Linked DNA regions of Astyanax mexicanus. The protein of the gene in region 1 purifies or fractionates together with the protein of each later gene. This does not show direct contact. Links are inferred from orthologs where the notes say so. Each region holds a gene or a part of one and is shown in the gene's direction. Other genes may lie near its edges. The genes, in order: cep43, cep350 and ppp2r3c.

The links.
Region 2: the proteins of cep43 (region 1) and cep350 purify together in Homo sapiens (affinity purification with mass spectrometry; 6 studies listed by BioGRID and IntAct, counting the BioPlex papers as one, with this or other methods). This does not show direct contact. The link is inferred for Astyanax mexicanus from reciprocal best matches to the Homo sapiens genes CEP43 and CEP350.
Region 3: the proteins of cep43 (region 1) and ppp2r3c purify together in Homo sapiens (affinity purification with mass spectrometry; 3 studies listed by BioGRID and IntAct, counting the BioPlex papers as one, with this or other methods). This does not show direct contact. The link is inferred for Astyanax mexicanus from reciprocal best matches to the Homo sapiens genes CEP43 and PPP2R3C.

Annotation. Positions count from the first base shown.
Region 1 is NC_064408.1:75,012,772-75,019,728, reverse strand, and holds the start of cep43 (FGFR1 oncogene partner), read left to right. Parts: upstream 1-2,482; 5' UTR 2,483-2,645; intron 2,646-2,795; 5' UTR 2,796-2,827; coding exon 2,828-3,031; intron 3,032-3,515; coding exon 3,516-3,569; intron 3,570-4,270; coding exon 4,271-4,325; intron 4,326-4,410; coding exon 4,411-4,499; intron 4,500-6,212; coding exon 6,213-6,350; intron 6,351-6,437; coding exon 6,438-6,464; intron 6,465-6,957. UniProt on the Homo sapiens protein: Required for anchoring microtubules to the centrosomes. Required for ciliation.
Region 2 is NC_064419.1:9,457,572-9,464,528, reverse strand, and holds the start of cep350 (centrosome-associated protein 350), read left to right. Parts: upstream 1-1,975; 5' UTR 1,976-2,097; intron 2,098-4,024; 5' UTR 4,025-4,112; intron 4,113-6,957. UniProt on the Homo sapiens protein: Plays an essential role in centriole growth by stabilizing a procentriolar seed composed of at least, SASS6 and CPAP. Required for anchoring microtubules to the centrosomes and for the integrity of the microtubule network.
Region 3 is NC_064421.1:1,124,313-1,131,269, forward strand, and holds the start of ppp2r3c (serine/threonine-protein phosphatase 2A regulatory subunit B'' subunit gamma), read left to right. Parts: upstream 1-3,023; 5' UTR 3,024-3,138; coding exon 3,139-3,202; intron 3,203-4,239; coding exon 4,240-4,364; intron 4,365-6,957. Other genes in the region: prorp (mitochondrial ribonuclease P catalytic subunit), read right to left, coding at 1-56. UniProt on the Homo sapiens protein: May regulate MCM3AP phosphorylation through phosphatase recruitment. May act as a negative regulator of ABCB1 expression and function through the dephosphorylation of ABCB1 by TFPI2/PPP2R3C complex.

The DNA of each region.
Region 1 (6,957 bases):
CCCCAGAGTGTACCATCCTATGGCACACTTTAGAGCTCAGCCCTGTAAAGCAGCCCAGTCTGTCTGGTTCAGTTCAGTAGATCATGTTAGCCGTTGTCAGAACAGTGTGAAGGCCTGAGTTCAGTGGTTTACGAGTGGGTTGTGTACACTAATGCATGAGCCTCTATATCATGTTGTCACAGAGATTGCAAAAATGAACGGATTTCGGTCGACGGTGAATATACACGGACCGACCGTGCCATTTCTTCACCGTTTCTTTCTTCATTTAGACTAGCTCTGTATTTTTGACTAATTCACACGAAGGTGCTAGTCATCCTCATGCCTCATGCATCCAAATGGACTAACAGGTCAAAATATCTGCCTCTCCATCTTCTTCCTCCTCCTCCTCCTCTCTCTCCAAAGCTTTGTGTATGCAGCTGCCAATATAATAACGCTTCTAATAGACCGATAGCAAAATTTCCTCTCATTACCTATCATAACTGATTCGACAGGAAAAAAGGAGTTAAAGCACAATTCTGCTGCTCTCTTTCTGTTCTAAAATACTGCAGTATCTAATAAAAAAGAACATTATCTGTAACTATTTAAATAGAAAAACACTAACTACACTATCACATGCTTGAATGCAGAATACATTTCTTATTACTAATTGTGAAATCATCAGGTTACGATGTTCCATTTGAAAAGGACTTCAACCAATCATTTTAAAAAACAGGATTTTATATTAAAAAAAAAAGAAACATTGCTTTCTCTTGGTCTCTTGCTCTCTATCTATCTCTTTCTCTCCCTATTTTATTATTATTATTATGATTATTATTTTTTAATCACATGGCATGATTTTGGTTGATATGATACTTTTTGCTGTAAATGTTCAAGATCACACGTTGCAGTGATATTTCATTTTAAAATTGTGAACTTTGTACAATTTTTATCATGCTGGTGTTGACATCTGTTACTCAATAAAAACTTGTGTTGCCACACTGTATGTCTCCTCGCCTCGATGTGTTCACAGCCCTCCTGAAGTAATACACTACAAATACTTTGTTACATTACTTAAGTAGAAATTTGGGTTAGCTCTACTTTAATAGAGTAATTTTTCCGATTATTTTTTACTTCTACTCTTTACATTTTCACACAGTTATCTGTACTTTCTAATTTTTACATTTTTAAAATAGCCTCATTGCTCCTATTTCATTTAAGCTTGTTTTCATCTGGCTTCTTATGGTTCAAAAACAAAATTAAATATCCAGATAAAATTCAGCAATTAAATGAATCGAAAAACATTAATGTGTATCCTTGATGCAGAACAAGGTCACCATGAACAATTGCAAAAAAAGGTGCGCAGTTCAACCATGTTTTCACTTAATGCCAATTTTGACTAAAACTCTTCAGCCTGTCATTGTTCTCCCTGTCATGTATCTAACTATTAAAGGGTGGGTAAATGCCTGCAAGTGAAAATAAAATGTTTTTTTTATAGTCTTTTTTGCAACAAACATGTAAAATAACAAAATACGTGATGTTTATTGTAATGGATGCAGGGTCTGAAAGGGCTAAAGGAATATCTCGGACAAGAAGTTTATTGTTCTTTTTAATGTGATTCACCCCCAATTATTTTAGACTCACTCGCGGGCTCCCTCTAGCGGTTAAATGGGCGGGGACTCGGGATATGAGCCTGTCAATCATGTTTTGCATTAACCAATTAAATCCTTGCTCTTAGCCATCAAACACATTTTGCATTGTGGAATTGCAAAGCAGATGCGACCTATCCATTATTTTGTGCATCAGCCAGTCTAGATGTTGTTTGGTTATTTAACGCTTAAATCTGATCCCGGTTGTTTTTACCTGTATATACATATGCTAATACTAAGTAACAGAGGCTGATGCATCTAACTAAATATGCATTTTAACACTTTATTTACAGATTTATGGGAATATTATTAATCATTTAATAAATTAGAACAGAAAATTGTACATTTGGATGTGTCAAACAACTGTTAATCAATGAAGATAATTTAGCTGTGCATTCTTACATTGACAAGTGGTTTCCTGACATTTCTATCTTGTAAACATGGTATGGTTTAACATAAGTATAAATCTTCTCTGTTTTACATTGCATCTGCAAAATAACATAAATACGACTTGATCAAGTTAATGATGTTTTCTTGACCTGAAATAAAGGCAAGGCAATATTTAAGGCACTTATGTGTACATGCAATATTTTGAACAGAACTGTGCTCTTACCCTGCTAATTGAACCTTCACACTCTGAAATGCGGCTGGGAGTAAACAGGATTTTATTGGAATATCTGAATTTTTGGCTGTGTGTGATAGTAATGTTATGAAACGTGCTGAAAGTGAGCGTTGTGATTGGCTCAGTTCAACGGTAGTCAACATCCTATCTAAAAGGGATCAGCTGTCCCATTTCCCCAATTACAGCTCCTTCCCTCCATTCCTCCTCCTCCTCTCCTCTCCTCGATTCCTCCACCTTCTTCCGGGGTAGGAGAGGAGGAGTAGGAAAGGAGGGGTAGGAGAGGAGGAGTAGCAAAAGTTTCTGGACGCAGCCATAGATTCTGGGGCAGATTACAGCGGAAGTAGGGGTCAAACTTGGTGATTTAATTAACTTGCGTTAACGTTGACAGCCCTAAGCAGGTATTTTGCCCTGTACTGTTACTAAATTATATCTCTGCTGTTTGTAACAAACCAAACCGTGGTAAAATCGGGTAAATATTGGTAGAGTTGTGATTTTTATATGTGTATTAAACACCTTCCTTAGTACTAATAAATGCACTGGGTCGTAAGGTTGACTCCTCCAATATGGCGGCCACGATGACATGACAGGAGGCAGGCTCTGCGGCGTCGTCACACATACTACCGGCCGGTTCACCTCAGCTGTAATGAAGACAGTCCGCCGGCAGAGGGCGCCGCGTGGTCACATGACAGTGGGGTTGAAGATGTCTGCCACGGAGGAGGACACGGAGCTGAGAGACCTCCTGATCCAGAACCTGGAAAACAACGGCGTTTTAAACAAGATTAAGGTACTCCTGAAGCTACAGCTGGTGATAGTGGAGAGTTTTACTGAGGCTGTGTGTTGACTCTTAGTGAGGTAACGTTAGTTCACTCTAGTACAGCAGTGAGAGCTAAAGTTTTGGTTAGCTTAGCTTAGCTACAGCTGGGTTAGCCTGCTGACTAGCTGAACTGTAGTGTCAACAAACTGTAACTATGAGATAACCTGAAGACCTGAACCACTGAGCTCTCCCCCGAACTCACAGATTGAGTTCTTCTCTAAACACGGGCTAGTAAAGAACGTGTGTATGTGTATGTGTATGTGTATGTCTGTGTATGTCTGTGTTTGTGTGTGTGTTTGTGTTTGTGTTTGTGTTTTTTCTGTGTGTGTGTGTGTGTGTGTGTGTGTGTGTGTAAACGTGTGTGTGTAAACGTGTGTAAGTTAATGTGTATAAAAAATATGTTAATTCTGGTTTACTGAAGTGTGATCTGAGTGTAGCCGGTGTTGTTCTGCAGGCTGAGCTTCGAGCTGCGGTGTTTCTGGCTTTAGAAGAGCAGGATAAAGTGGAGGTAAAGTGGAGCAGCAGTCTGAACTCTAACTCACTCAACTCTTCTCTATAAATCACTGTTTATCATAAGCTTCTGTACTGAGAGCTAGCTGAGTGATATGGAAGCCCCATCCTGCCACCTAAAATAAAAATATATATATTTTTCATTATTTCCAGATACTATCTCATTATTTTGAAATTGTAAGTCGTTATTTTGAGATACTATATCATTATTTTCGTCTGTATCCGTGTTGTTTTACAGATGTCTGCAGCTGTTGGTTAATAAAGGATTCCACTTCAGCTATATTTGTGTAGTTTTTCCTCCTTTCATAGCTGGCTCTTCTATAGCCTTCTCTCCCAGGTCCGGAGGTTTATTTTGATATTGTTTGATTCCTCTAAAAGCACCAATATTTCATGATTTGTAAATCTACATCTAAAGTAATCCTCAATGATTGTACAATGTTGCATCTTTGTCTCACCTGCCTCTGTCTCTGTACAGTGTGTTAGTATCTCAAAATAATGACTTACTATCTCAAAGTAATAAAACATGATTTCAAAATAGTGAATAAGTATTCCATAATAATGTCTTACTTTTTCAAAATAATAAGATAGCAGTTTACTTTTCTTTGTGGTGAGAAAAGGCTTCCATAGGGTAGCAACACATCTGTTATATGAGTATGTAATATGTATTAGATATTAATGTCTCCTTCCTGTCCTCTCTAGAATAAAACCCCACTTGTAAATGAAAATCTAAAGAAGTGTCTGAACACTAAAGATGGTAAGTGAAGCTGCAGGGCTGCTGTTCTCCCTCACTGTTTCTCAGAGCTTTAGCCTTGTTTATAACTGGGGTCCTTCTCTCGCAGGACGCCTTGTGGCCAGTTTAATCACCGACTTCCTACAAGTCTTTAATTTAGACTTCACTCTTGCAGTCTTTCAGCCAGAAATTAACACGGTACAGTATATGTTCTGTTTTATTACCATGCTCATAACATTCAAACCAACTGCAGAATATTGTGTATATCACAGTTTTTATTTATTTATTTATTTAATATCAATGTGTTAAAAATAGAACGTAGTAAATATACTAAGATAGTTCAATGAACTCACCTAAACTACTTAGTGTTCAAAGAGATATTTCCAAATATTCTATCGCATAAGACACAAGTTTAATATTACATTACAATATGTCATCATTGAGGCATTTATGTCATCATTGAGGCATATTTATGTCATCAAGGCATTTATGCCTTTTTTTAATCTGCAACATTTCTCTTAGTTCTTCATTCAGCTAATAAAACATAGTAAATTTCATTCTTACTGAGGAAACATTATGTATTCCAGCATCTATTTGTGAAATAGACACAAGGGGTAGCTGTAACACTGTGCCACAGCAGCCAGACTGAAAGGGGTGACTTTTTTTTTTTTTTTTTCTTTAATATGATAAAACTCATGAGTGCAGGCTTCAGTCAGTGCTGATCATCTAAACATGGCACAAATTGGTCTGATTTATCAGAAGATCACTATTTCACTGGTTGTCCTTACTTGAAGCATTTTAATAGGTATCAGGAACACATAACAAACTGCAGTTGTGTACATTCTCTTGGCTGTTGTCCCAATGAATCAGATCCCATATCGCTTGCTTCCAGCATATCATCTTCAAAAACTGTCAATACCCAAAATGTTTCTAACACCCATTAACCAGCAGTACTATTGTAGTAAGATAATTGGTGGTATTTACCTCATTTGTTAGAATTGTGATAATATGGCTGATCTATGTTTATATATGTGAATATACAGCTCTGGAAAAAAGTTTCTGAATCAGTTTCTCAGATTTTAATAGTTATAGGTTTATGTTTGAGTAAAATGAACATTGTTATTTTATTTTATAAACTACAGACAACATTTCTCCCAAATTCCAAATGAAAATATTGTCATTTAGAGCATTTATTTGCAGACAATGAGAAATGGCTAAAATAAAAAAAAAGATGCAGAGCTTTCAGACCTCAAATAATGCAAAATAACAAGTTCATATTCATAAAGTTTTAAGAGTTCAGAAATCAATATTTGGTGGAATATCTCTGGTTTTTAATCACAGTTTTCATGCATCTTGGCATGTTCTCCTCCAACAGTCTTACACACTGCTTTTGGATAACTTTGTCACCCCTGTTGCAAAAATTCAAGCAGTTCAGTTTGGTTTGATAGCTTGTGATCATTCATCTTTCTCTTGATTATATTCCAGAGGTTTTTTAATTTGGTAAAATGTAATAAACTCAACATTTTTAAGTGGTCTCTTTTTTCCAGAGCTGTATATATCACAATAGCCAAATAGCAAAACGTTCAGGGAAAGTCAGTGTAAAGTTTTATTTATTAATTTTAAAGTAATTTTGGTGTGTTTCTATTGGTCTATTTGTTAGAAAAGTCTGACACTAAATAACAGACAGATGCCAGATTTGTAATTAAAAATAGCAAGTATAGAAAATAGACAATGGAAAACATAGTGCATGACCTACTATAGCTTGAATAAATTTGAATAGAAATTAAATGCAACTAAAATTATTGTTTTGTTCAGATATATTTTTAATTGTTTTGTGTATTTTAATGATATGTGTTATACTTCTGTTAAACATTTGTCATTAAAAGTATGTGTATTTCTTGTCTTATCCAGTTAAATGGGCTCGATGGTAGGGAAAGTTTGTTCAGAGAGCTCGGCCTCTCGGAATCAGAAGGGAATAAGAGCACTCCTCTCCTCCTTGAGGTAATAAAGAGGGGCCGTCATAAGGACAGAGCTTCCATCTTTTCTGAGGTGAGCGTATCTGCATATTATATTTTGTCAGGTATTTTAGTTAAAATCTTGTATGTATAAATAATTTTATTCTTTCATTTTTTGCAGGGAGATCGAGTAATGCACATTCCCAAGGTATGTTATCTTCATCTAGCCATAACCTATTTTGTGCACCCACAGAGTACAGTAACCACTGGCATGATTTACAGTATCAGGACTAGATCCAAACATGTAATAACGCCAACGTCTGAACTTCTTTAGATGTGGTAGGAGAGGCTGATTCATATCTCTTCCTTACCCCCACATTTTACCCCTAACTTTATTATTTAGGTCACACAAGGGATGCGTGATGTAAATGTAAAGGTGTTCAGATTGTGTTCTTTCCTGTTCAGCTAGGTTTTGCAAAACAACTTTGTCCTACTTTTATGCATTCACAGCTTTGTAGTTTACAGCAGCTCGACTTCACGTGTGTTTTTCTGTAATTGTTCTAAATGTACAATCTTATTCAGAAGTCGACGTTTTTGACATTTTGTTGGTGGTACACACAATTCTATGTGTATTTTTTTTTTATTAACATTTTGGGGTGAACATTTTTTTTGTGTTACTTTTGTGCTTTTCAACTTGACAC
Region 2 (6,957 bases), on another chromosome or scaffold:
CCACATCACTCCTAGGGTGATGTCCGCAGCACAGGGCGTCTGTGAGCTGATGTATCAGAACCACACTGCTGCGTTTTGCTCTGAGCGCATCAGCTGCTCGAAAAGAGGCGGTGGCTGACTTCACATGTATCGGAGGAAGCATGTGTTAGTGTTCACTCTCCTGGTGTGTTGGGGCATCACTAGTGATAGAGGGAGTCCTAATGAGTGGGTTGGGTAATTGGCCGTGTAAATTGGGGAGAAAAAACAATTGGTGCATCATGAAAGAAAAAAGTCCAGGACTGTTGATGAGATACAATCCTCCTTCAGTCCAGAATGGGAAAATATTTATCTTCCTAAACTCCAACAGCTGCTCTCCTTACTTCTCTGACTATTACCTGACCCTGTCGCAACTGATTTGAGAAGCATCACTTTAAATTATTAAATTTTTTGGAATGGTGGTATATAGTATTGGTATATAGAGAGAGACAAGATAATAGGAGATGGATGTGTTGAGGTTTTGAGCTGTTGAGCAGGAGAGTGAGATGTATCATAGCCGTGCACTGGTGCTGATGGTTTCCTGCTGCAGTGCTGGTTTACTTTCTCCTAAATGATTTGGCTCAGCTCTGATATACTGCACCACATTTCATCTTCAGAAAGTAAATCATTGAGTGCTCACTGCAGCCGAGCGGACCGGAACAGAACAGATCCAGACGGACAGAAACACTTTAAACAGAACTTTATTTCACTCTGAACAGGAAACACATCTGTCTTGATATCATTTGTATTCTAAAAATACATTTAATAATTCAATAAACACATATTTCAAATATACTGGAATTTTTAAAATAATACATTTTAAATACTGTTTTCTTTCATTTTTAAATGGTACATGGCATATAAAACTATGTTGTTTTCTTAATGTTTTTAAGACTATATAAAAATGATTTAGGTTTTAGTTATTCATTAATAGATAAAAATACCAATCTATTTTGACGTGTCCAAGGCTGTATATATATATATATATATATGTGTGTGTGTGTGTGTGTGTGTGTGTGTGTGTGTGTGATTGGTATTTTTATTAAAATAGCTAAATTAATATATACAGCTCTGGAAAAAAATAAGAGACCACTTAAAAATTATGAGTCTCTTTGATTTTACCAAATTGAAAAACCTCTGGAATATAATCAAGAGGAAGATGGATGATCACAAGCCATCAAACCAAACTGAACTGCTTGAATTTTTGCACCAGGAGTAAAGCAGCATAAAGTTATCCAAAAGCAGTGTGTAAAACTGGTGGAGGAGAACATGCCAAGATGCATGAAAACTGTGATTAAAAAACAGGGTTATTTTTATTTAAAAAAAAACATCAAATATTGATTTCTGAACTCTTTAAAAACTTTATGAATATGAACTTGTTGTTGTTTTTTCTTTTTGCATTAAAAATGCAGTTAAGGTGGCACAAGGCTGCAAGCTGGAGAAAAAACAGCTATGTTGGCTTCTTTTTCTTCTGTTCCACCTTAAGTGCAGCAGCTGTAGATTTAGTATTTTTCGTCAGCTCCTTTTTTATCCAAGAATTCAAGTGTTATTATTTTTTTAACGTTATGTATATATATATATATATATATATATATATATATATATATATATATATATATATATATATATATCCGACCTTAAATTCTATATGTGCATGGTTATGTGTTAATATTTCTTATGAAATGTGTTTAATATTAATCTACAATGCAGAAAATATATTAAATAAAGGAAAACATTGACAATTTCTTTGGACTTTTACCCCATAAAATATACAAATAACAGTATAAATATTCATCTTTATTCATTTAAAACAAAAAGGTGTAGCATTAAAACGGTGATAGAGTTCTGGTGATGATAATGACCTAAATTTTACTGTAGGTACCGAACCTGACCGCTAGGGGGGAGGTGGCTCCCATCTGTACGAACCTGTTGCTCGGAAGTCTCGCGAGATCTCCGTATGTTTGTTGTGTAATGGCGGAGCGGCTAACGGCTCCATTACAGAGAGAGAGAGGCTAACCCTTCTATACTCAGCTCTACACACTTTCTGACACACAGTGATACGGGCTTACCCGCCGCGTCCAGGTGAGCAGAACCAAAACATCCGAACCCGAGTGTTCAGCAGCGGACCGGACTGTTTAATCCCCGGGTGTGGGAGTGTTCTGAGAGCCGGTGCTAACTCGGTTAGCCGTTAGCGGTTAGCGGGGAACTTTAGTGGATATGTTTATTTTAGTGTATTTTTAGTTTTCTGTTGTCAAATTCCAGTTTTATTATCTGTATGAGTTAATAACAGAGCTGTAGAGATTATCTTTGGGGTGTTTTCTGCTGCGGTGTTTCTGTGTTTGGGTTGTTTTGTTGGTAAATGTGTGGAAATGCAGTTAAAGGCTAACCTGGTTTCTGTTTCGTGTGAATAAGAGTTTTTAAACAAGTTAGTTATTATTTAGGCTTTATTTAAATAATTCGGACTGTTCTGGTGAATCCTGGCTATGTTAAAAGCTTGGTTGTCAACTTGGTTCATGATATGCAGCTGACACTGGTTCCTTGTTCGTAATTCTCCGTTCCACCTTAAGTAGCGTTAGTGCAGCAGTGACAGTCAGGCGTCTCAGGAATTACTAAGGTTACTGCTGCAGCATTTAAGGTGGAACGGAAGATTGCTGACTACTAGGCAACTTGACGTGAAAGTAAAACTAGCAATAACCGGATTTTCTACATTTCTTCTTAAATTTCTTTCAGTTTGAGGAGTTGTGGGCTCAGTATAGAGGAATAATAACGTTTAATAATAAAAAGAGGTTATAAAGATTGTAACTGATTGATTGACTTACCAGAAAAAAGTTGCCACTTTAAATACTTGTCACTTTAAATCTTACATTTTTGTTTTTAGTTAGTAGCCAGTTTGCTGTAGGACCGTAACGATTAACGAATTATAATTTGTAATTACAAACTATACTATTTTTTAATAACTTAAAAAATGTTCACATCCATGTTTAAAAACATTAATGTCAGTTTTAGTATATTTACTACTAGCTAAGAATACACAGCCTTTTCATTGTATGCATAGTGTGGAAAATATTTAATGTGTCAGAATTGTATTTGTCTTTTTATTTATCAGCCATTGATATTATTTTAAGGGCATATCGCCCATGCGTAATTGTAACAAAACAGTTTATACCACATATATTATACATCAAACTTTACTTTTTATCCAATCAGATAAGTAGAATCTAATGCCACAGTACAACACTGTTATCTAGTGGGCGGGCCTTGTTGTTAAATAAACTCCTAGATCTACTTTAATATACTATTATTCCCCTATTTTCTTACAAGAGATGCATAAAAACTAATACTGGTGTTGGATATTTGCTCAGTACCATGCTCATTTACTTTTACAAGTACTCCTGGGGTTACTCGTAATTAGAGGTGGGCGATATGGCCCTAAAATAATATCATGATATTCATGGTATTTTCGCAATGAGGATACTATTGGCGATATGACATAACACTGAATTTTAAAAATTATTTCAAGAATGCACTATTGCTAAAAAAAAAAATAAAAATAAAATGTATTATTGCATACGATATGATATTGCACACCCCTAACTGAGATATGAAAAAATACAGTAATTGTATCAGATTTGTAACAGAAGTCAATGATCCAGGATGTCAAGAAACTAATAATGCACTCCAAATATTTCCATATATATATCCAGGATTAAGGATTGGTTGATGTAGTCCTGACATCACATGATTATTCTGAAAAATATGCTTTTTTGGAAAAGTTTAAATTGTTAATATAATTTATATAATAACAATAAAACCTTTTACACTAACAACTGTATTGGAAAGTACAAATATGCAAATGCTTGTACTTGGTTGGAATAAAGTGGTGGCTATGCATCCCTAATTATAGTAGAATTTAACTCATGTAAGTGTCCTCAAGATGTTAATCTTCAGAATCAGTAGAGTGAAACGGCTAATCTGATCTAATGTGATGAACTGTTGGTTCTTGGTCCAGGGTTGTTTTTTCTTCGTCTCCGGACCCTGATGTGTGCAGCAGGCCAGAGGGCGGAGCCGGGTCACGGTTCTCTGGGAGGTGCTGTACGGTGAGTAGATGAGAACTTGTAGTTTACATGATAAATAAAAAAAAAAATAATAATACTGGGTCAATAATTATGTTAAAAATGTGTGTAACACATTACCATGACCTCAGTCATTTTTCCTGCCCCCAATATGTTTTTCTTAATGTTATGTTATTCATTTAGAATATTTAAAGAATACAAATACAATTACAATGACTAAATATTCTTAATGTAATAAAATGTTCTTGAAATGACAATAATATTGTTTAATGCAGTTTCCTCCAGTATCTACTATAGCTGATTCGGAAGCTGCTGTTAAACTAGTATGTAAAATCATTTAAAGATAAGAAAGTGAATTGTGAACCTTAAAGGGTTTAAAGGGTTAATTTTTTTCTTTGTCAGATAAACAAACAGTCCTGTCTAAGGACGCTAAACTCACTGTTCTCATGACAACTCGATTAACTGTCATTGTAGTGTAGACACGCCTCCTTCAAAAAGAATGAATAGGGCTGTACTGCTGTAGACTAGTACGCAAACAGTGTCCTGTTGTTGGCGTCTTGTGCCCACTGATTAAGAACTAGAGATAATAAAAAAACAAATGTATAATGGGTGTATTAAACAAGAAAGTGGTCATAATGTTATGCTTCATTGGTGTGTGTGTTAATGATTTATTTTTTTCAGATATAACTAAAACATTTTATTTAGGACAGACTTTTCTTACCATTTTGTTTCTATACATATCACTATCATGAAAAAGGTTGTATCTCCAAAACAGCAGCTTTACAGTAGGGAAAGTGAAGTCCGACAATTCTGTAGCATTTCTTTTGTTCCATTCATCATCAAATTCCGATAAATATAAATGATATAAGTATAATATCACTTTTTATTGATCTGCACCTTCCATTACTGTTGAATAATAATAAACATTAAGTCCTTTCACAGTAACCAATTGTTTTAACTTTATATTTTTACAGAAGTAATTGTGATAAGTGATATTACTTCAAAGCTAGAGTTTTATTTATAACATATTATAATAGCATAATAGGGTGATTCTCACGAAAAACAGATTTAAAAGGGTTCACACTTGAAAAATTTCAAAAGGCATTTAAATATAAAATTTCTTTTTGTTATGCAAGACTAGGGTCTGAACTTTTTAGAAATACTTTTTTTTTTTAATTTTATAATTTTTTTCTGTATATTTTGCACCATTTTAGTCAGTCAGAGCACACACATTCTCAGTACCGCAACATGATAACACAGAACAGATATGGTTTAAAAGTTACACATTTGTTACTTTTTAAATAGATATTATTAACAGTTGTGCTCATATGTGTATATAACCCAGAAAATATTATATTTATAAGTTTCCCATTTTTTTTTATTTTATGATTTGTCTCATTACCGCAACAGATTTCATGATTCATGTCCTGTCTTTTCAGGATATTTAACTGAAAAATTACATGTATAATTTCTTATTTAGTACAGATGACCTATGAAGAAATACAATTTATCCAAATACCATTATAAACTAGAATTTGTTTTATAACAGTAAAATAATTAGTAAATAAATATGTGTTGCGGTAAAGAGAATGGTGTTTCGGTAAAGAGAGTCAATGTTTCGGTAAAGAGAGTCATTACAAGGATTCCTACTTAATTAACAATAACACTTTACACAACAAACACAGAGTGTGAATGCTGTGAATAAATAACAAATTCTAATGATGTACTTCTTGAGTTTTGTATGGAGTAGTAATATTGAACAAAATGTGGTATTTGCTGTTGAAAATTATTCTCAGTAAGACTCAAGCTGTGAAAATATCCTATTTTGAACTGTGTATTTTAATAAAACAAATTTCAACATACCTCATTAGACATAAATTCCTTAAAACTTTAAACATCACTGTATAACTAAATTGAAATGGAATGTTTAAATACAAAATAAGTAATTCAACATCTCATAAAACAACTTTTTTTATTAAGTATTAATTTCATGACAGATATAAACATCAATGTACAACTAAATTGAAATTAAATATTTAAGTATGAAACAAGCAATTCAACATCTCATTAAACATCTTTGTATTAAGCATTAATCTCATGAAAAATGTAAACATCAATGTGCAACTAAATTAAAATTAAAGATAAAATTAAAGAAAGTTGTTTAATGAAATGTATATATGTGTGTATATATATAAATTTCATATATATAATATATACATTTCATGAAACAACTTTTATTGTTATAAACTGTTAATAAAGGTTGTTTCATAAAATGTGTATATATATATATATATATATATATATATATATATATATATATATATATATATATACATATAAACAGTTTATAACAATAAAAGTTTATAAAAATAAATTTCATGAAACAACCTTTATTAACAGTTTATAACAATAAAAGTTGTTTCATGAAATGTATATATTATATATATGAAAATTATATATTATATATTATATATATATATATATATATATATATATATATATATATATATATATATATATATATATATATATATATATATATTATTATTATTTTTATATATTATTTTTATATCTTATGTGGAAGTTATATGGGTGTCACTGCCCTGCTACATAAATCTGTTTTTTATCTGAAATTGCATCATGTATTGTTTTATATATTGTTTATTATAAGTAAATAAAGGCTTTTTTATGAAACAATATATATATATATATATATAAGTTCATGTCACTTAAAACATTAATTTCTCTTTACCGCAACAGTGAATCTCTCTACCGCAACAGGCCTTAAATTGTTGCGGTGTATGAGAAGGCTGTTGCGGAGTATGAGGGACCTTAACCTTCTTTGATCTCTGTGGGGCCACCATGATGC
Region 3 (6,957 bases), on another chromosome or scaffold:
AAAGGCTGTAGATATTTGGAACAAGTCCTCGTGTTCATAAACATAAAGGATCCCATCCTGCGTCCACCAGTAATCAGATATAAATGATATGAAAGAGTTTCTGCAAGTAAATCACAAACAAACACATTAATGCACTCAATTAGTACTCCTGTATTACAGTTATATACAGTATATAAACAGCTCTGGAAAAAAAATTAAGAGACCACTTGAACTCTGGAATATAATCAAGAGGAAGATGGCTGATCACAAGCCATCAAACCACCAAACTGAACTGCTTGAATTTTTACACCGGGAGTAAAGCAGCATAAAGTTATCCAAAAGCAGTGTGTAAGACTGGTGGAGGAGGAGAACATGATGCCAAGATGCATGAAAAAAAAACTGTGATTAAAAACCAACCAGGGTTATTCCACCAAATATTGATTTCTGATACATACATACATTCTATAGTAGGACTGTGAATTGCCAAAAACAGAGTGATACGCTACGTATCACAATAAAGAAGTTACGATTCAATATACTGCAATATATTGCAATAATTTAAAACAGTTTAAAACTGTTATAGTATAAAAAACACACATTCATAAAATCTGAATAAAAAAAGATTTATTTTTCATCCAATTAGAATAGTGAGTACAACACTGCTCTCTAGTGGTCACGGTTTAAGCACAACACAAAATGAACCACTTCTGACACCAACCTTTACATCTAAGCTAATAATTAAATATTGGTACTGTATTTTTGAAACTCAATACAGTATTGCAAAACAAAAAATATATCAATATATCAATCTTTTCTTACACTCCTATTCTATACAACACATATTTGGAAAATATTATAATGCCATGATGCTTAATGCTATTGCCAATACAGTGTAGCATGTATTCTATAAAATGTTGGCTAGTAATTAACCGTACACCAGCAAAAGCTTCAAGCAGAGCCCAGAATAACTCCAACAAAAATAGGTAAATCATTTTTAACACAGTTAGTGGATTGGAAACATAAGGTAAAGGTAGGGTGTTTCCAATAAATTGGCCACAGTAAGTGCGGCTCTGGTACAGTATGAGTTGCAATATGTTGTAGTATGTAATTATGTTTGTTTTTGAAGGTTTTAAAGGTTAACAAAGAGAAACTCAATATATTTACAGTGAACTGAAGGTCAGTACAGGGTTAATAAGCGGTAGAGCTGCTGCTGGATGTGTGTTTATGAGTGAAGGAGCTGAATAATGAGTATAAATGAGTATAAATGAGTATAAATACAGTAAAAGTGACCAGAAGGTGAAATAATAATAAACTCACGTGTATCAGCATTACCGCTCCACTTCTTCCGCTCTTACTGCAGAGTAACAGCAGCAGCGCAACAGCGCCCCCTACAGCCCGGAGACCCACTATTGCACCCTTTTAACTCATCCCTACACTTTCTATTCCTCAACTTCTATGATATAAATATTATATACACAAACTGTTTATGACTGCATATGAAGTATATGAAGTAATTAGGACTAGTAAAACAAGATTTAGATACTAATATTTTTTGGGTAATTAGACAGCCTGACACTGTTATAGTTGATTTTATTTATTCATTTATTTTATTTATTTTATTTTATTTTTTGTTTTAATTAACTTTTTACATATTGATTTGTTTTAGGTGCCTTTTAACATTTATTTTATAGATTCTTTTATTTATTTATATTAAATGTTCCTCTTTTATTGTTTTTATTTTTTCCCTATATATATATTTTTAGTTTTATTTATTTATCTGTAGTTGCATTCTTATAATGTTTTCCCCAACATCCTCGTTATAGCTAGATTTGCTCTATTAACTTTAACTTAAATAATAAAAAGTAAAGACCATATAGAAAGATTATTATTATTATTATAAGTAATAGTAGTAAAGACTTTTATTTTGACAGAATTGTTTCGCACACTTTGCCAAGTGTTGCTGATATATGAATAGAGTTTCCTCAAGTAAAAACAGCAGTAGATAGATTTGAAATAATAATTGGTGTAATTTTAGGATAAAACTGCCACAGATAATTAGCTACTATTGCTTAAATGTGTTCTGTTTTATTTTTAATTATTATTATTTTTGTATCACTTTTATATGTTCTGTGAATTAAATGTCCTCATATTTTACATGCTGTAGTGATGTCTGCAGCATGTATTGTATTATTTCTTATTTACAGTGACGTGTTTTTAATATATATGTATATAAATATTAATCTGCAGTTAAAGGGAGTGAATGGGTTAATGCTGCTGCTTGTGTTTCAGCCACAGCTGCTTTATTATAGAGAGACTGCCCACTTCCTATCTCCCCTGTTATATATGATGATCATCATCATCATCATCATCATTTTATTCACATATCTGTTTAAGTAACAAGTGTTAAAGCATTTTTTTGTACAAGAAAACAACCTGCTTATTTATTTATTTTTCATTAAATAAAAACGTAATATAATGCGAGCAAGAATATCTAAGATAATTTAAAATAAACCAAACAAAATATTTATTATAAACGACAACACATCTCATTCTTCAACTAACTAAATTTTTAACTCATTTATTTGGATACTTTAAAGTGGACACAGCTTTTAGTTGCTTTTTGGATAACATATAATAATCAAATTTAGCATAAAAAACATTAAAATAGATTACCTTTATCAATTTCAATTTATTATCATCAGGAAGATTTTATTATTTTATTTTCTAAAAAGGATCATCTGATTTAAACTACTGTTAAAACGAAAAAAAAAAGTTTACATTTTATATCTATACTCTGATTCGCTCAATTGGAAAAATATTTAACTAGATCTTTTAAACATGAATGTGAATATCAACATAAAAAATAAAAATAAATGTTTTAGTTTATATGGACGTTTAAATTAATAAATTAATGATTTTGCCTAATTGCCCCATAGGAACCCACTTATTTTTAGACTCCCTCTGCAGCGCCCCCTGGTGGTCAAAATGGAAAACACACAGAAAATATATTCTTAAGTGTGCTCTCTCGCTTTAAGAGACTCTGTGGTAATAGCGCTGGTTAGCTAACAGCTAGGCTAAATCAGCCGATTTTATTTTGGGTGTAATAAAGTGTTATTATGGTTTATTAGATGATCTGCTGTGGTTTAGTAAGTGTGGAATATGGAGAGCGATAAATCTGCGGAGTGGAAGGAGATCCTGAGGAGAAGACTGACCTCAAAAACAGGTTAACTGTAATATTAGCATTAGCTTAGCTGTCGGTTACTATTAGTTATAGCGGTGGGTAATCCAGGTCCAGAAAGTAAAAATCCATCCCAGGGTTTTGTACCAAATGCCTGGGCTGCCCAGGGAGTTGGTACAAAACCCTGGGATGGATTTTTATTTTCTGGACCTGGATTACTCACCGCTAGTATCTAACTACCAAACTACAGTATAAACAATTACAGTCAGTTTAAAAATCCATATTTTTTAAAATAATTATTTATCAGTAGGTGAAAATAACAAGCCTCGTTTATTTATATGAGTTATTTTTATTGTATTTTAATTCTGTATCTGTTTGTTTACATGTTAGCTTGTTGCTAAGATAAAGAAAGTCCTCTGATCTCCTAATGAAAAATAAAATAATCTAAAATAAGATAATCTAAAATAAGATCATTTTAAATAAGATAATCTAAAAAACATATATAATCTAAAAAATAAAACTAAACTAATCTAAAATAAGATAATTCAAAATAAAATAATCTAAAATAATATAATATAATCCAATCTAAAATAATCTTATCTAATCCAAAATAATTGAATCTAATCCAAAAAACATCTATTCTAACCTAAAATAATTCAAAATAATCTAGATAATCTCCTGATTTCCTGTTGTGGATTTTAGAACCAGATCGTTTGGTAAAACCTATAAATAATTTAGTAGATAGAATATTTGAGCTACATTATAATGAAAATATATTTAAGGTGGTAGCTAAATATGTGATTCAGTAATTGTATCATTAATACAAAACTGACAGGTTTACAGACTGTATTTATATGTATTTATTATATAGCTAAATAATGTTATATCTGTTACTGAAATCCGCTTTAATATGAACCCTAATCTACAAATTATATATTTTTTGGCCCGTCGTATATATATACATCTCATACTGGAAGAACTATATGATATATTTAACTAAAACTGCTGATCTGAACAAAAATGATTTAAGCGTATTATTGAATTATTAATAAAATAATAATATATTTTTGTTTGTGTATCAGAGAGCCGGAGTGAGGAGGAGAAGAGAGAGGAGGAGACGGAGCTCTTCACTAAATATTACACTGAATGGAAAGGAGGAGGAAACGCAGAAAACACCTTCAAACTCATCCCTCGCTTTTACTACAGGGTGAGTTACTCCACACTCATCCCTCGCTTTTACTACAGGGTGAGTTACTCCACACTCATCCCTCGCTTTTACTACAGGGTGAGTTACTCCACACTCATCCCTCACTTTTACTACAGGGTGAGTTACTCCACACTCATCCCTCACTTTTACTACAGGGTGAGTTACTCTACACTCATCCCTCGCTTTTACTACAGGGTGAGTTACTCCACACTCATCCCTCTCTTTTACTACAGGGTGAGTTACTCTACACTCATCCCTCGCTTTTACTACAGGGTGAGTTACTCCACACTCATCCCTCGCTTTTACTACAGGGTGAATTACTCTACACTCATCCCTCACTTTTACTACAGGGTGAGTTACTCTACACTCATCCCTCGCTTTTACTACAGGGTGAGTTACTCTACACTCATCCCTCGCTTTTACTACAGGGTGAGTTACTCTACACTCATCCCTCACTTTTACTACAGGGTGAGTTACTCTACACTCATCCCTCGCTTTTACTACAGGGTGAGTTACTCTACACTCATCCCTCACTTTTACTACAGGGTGAGTTACTCCACACTCATCCCTCGCTTTTACTACAGGATGAGTTACTCTATACTCATCTCTCGCTTTTACTACAGGGTGAGTTACTCTATACTCATCCCTCGCTTTTACTACAGGGTGAGTTACTCTATACTCATCCCTCGCTTTTACTACAGGGTGAGTTACTCTATACTCATCCCTCGCTTTTACTACAGGGTGAGTTACTCTACACTCATCCCTCACTTTTACTACAGGGTGAGTTACTCTACACTCATCCCTCACTTTTACTACAGGGTGAGTAACTCCACACTCATCCCTCGCTTTTACTACAGGGTGAGTTACTCCACACTCATCCCTCACTTTTACTACAGGGTGAGTTACTCTACATTCATCCCTCGCTTTTACTACAGGGTGAGTTACTCCACACTCATCCCTCGCTTTTACTACAGGGTGAGTTACTCCACACTCATCCCTCGCTTTTACTACAGGGTGAGTTACTCCACACTCATCCCTCGCTTTTACTACAGGGTGAGTTACTCCACACTCATCCCTCGCTTTTACTACAGGGTAAGTTACTCTACACTCATCCCTCTCTTTTACTACAGGGTGAGTTACTCCACACTCATCCCTCGTTTTTCCTCCGGGGTGAGTTACTCTATACTCATCCCTCGCTTTTACTACAGGGTGAGTTACTCTATACTCATCCCTCGCTTTTACTACAGGGTGAGTTACTCCACACTCATCCCTCGCTTTTACTACAGGGTGAGTTACTCTATACTCATCCCTCGCTTTTACTACAGGGTGAGTTACTCTACACTCATCTCTCGCTTTTACTACAGGGTGAGTTACTCTACACTCATCTCTCGCTTTTACTACAGGGTGAGTTACTCTACACTCATCCCTCGCTTTTACTACAGGGTAAGTTTCTCTACACTCATCCCTAGCTTTTACTACAGGGTAAGTTACTCTACACTCATCCCTCGCTTTTACTACAGGGTGAGTTACTCCACACTCGTTCCTCGCTTTTACTACAGGGTGAGTTACTCCACACTCATCCCTCGCTTTTACTACAGGGTGAGTTACTCCACACTCATCCCTCACTTTTACTACAGGGTGAGTTACTCCACACACCCAAAGCTTTACATGTAGAACTTCCACAAGCAAAGCTATTAAATATTGATTACTCATACATTAAAAGTCCATTAAAGTCCATGTGAGCTGATTTGTTATGAAAAAAAGTACTCCGGTGATCCGGTATAACACTGCTTTAGTCCAGTGGAGGAGTGGGGTGGAGAAAAACAATAGAATTTTAGCTCTTGCTCATGAATATTAATATATGCAAACATATCGCCTCTGATTGGCTTACAGCACTGCAGTGTGGTGAGACGGACAACAGTTAGAAAGTTTTAAAAATAAGGATATTTTTACACTAATAAAAATCTTTGCAATTTCATATATTACTTTACAGCATGTGTAATGTGTAGTTGGAACAAAACGCTGGTGTGGATTTTTACTTTTAACTAGTGTAAACAGAACTGTTCTAAACATCTAAACACCTACCTATCTCTATTGTACTTGCCTGGTGGTGTTTTTCCTCCATAGACTAATTCTAACCATTTGTTTCTTAGTTTTGAATTACTGGGTAAAGTATATAAACACTGATGTGTTATTCGCACAAATAACACAGGAATGAACTGCATGCTGCTCCTAGCGCTGTTAGGTAGTGATGGGCAGATGAAGCCTCATTGTGTGTCCAAACTGTATCGACACTGTGTTGAAGCTGTGTTGCTGCATCAGTTAATGGCGACATCTGCTGGACTTAAAAAGTCATTGCAAGCAACTGTGCGAGGAACTGCATCGGTCACGTGGTTTACCTTAAAATGATACGCGGTCCGACACAGCGGTTCACCTTGTTTGCTCGGTGCATGCGCAGAGGTTTCAGTGTCGTCAGACCCATCGCTACCAAACGATACAGGAAGTGTATCGGTCACGTGGTTTTCCTTAACTTGATACGCGCACCGACACGGGGTTTCGCCTTGATAGCTCGGCGCTTGTGCCGAGGTTTCAG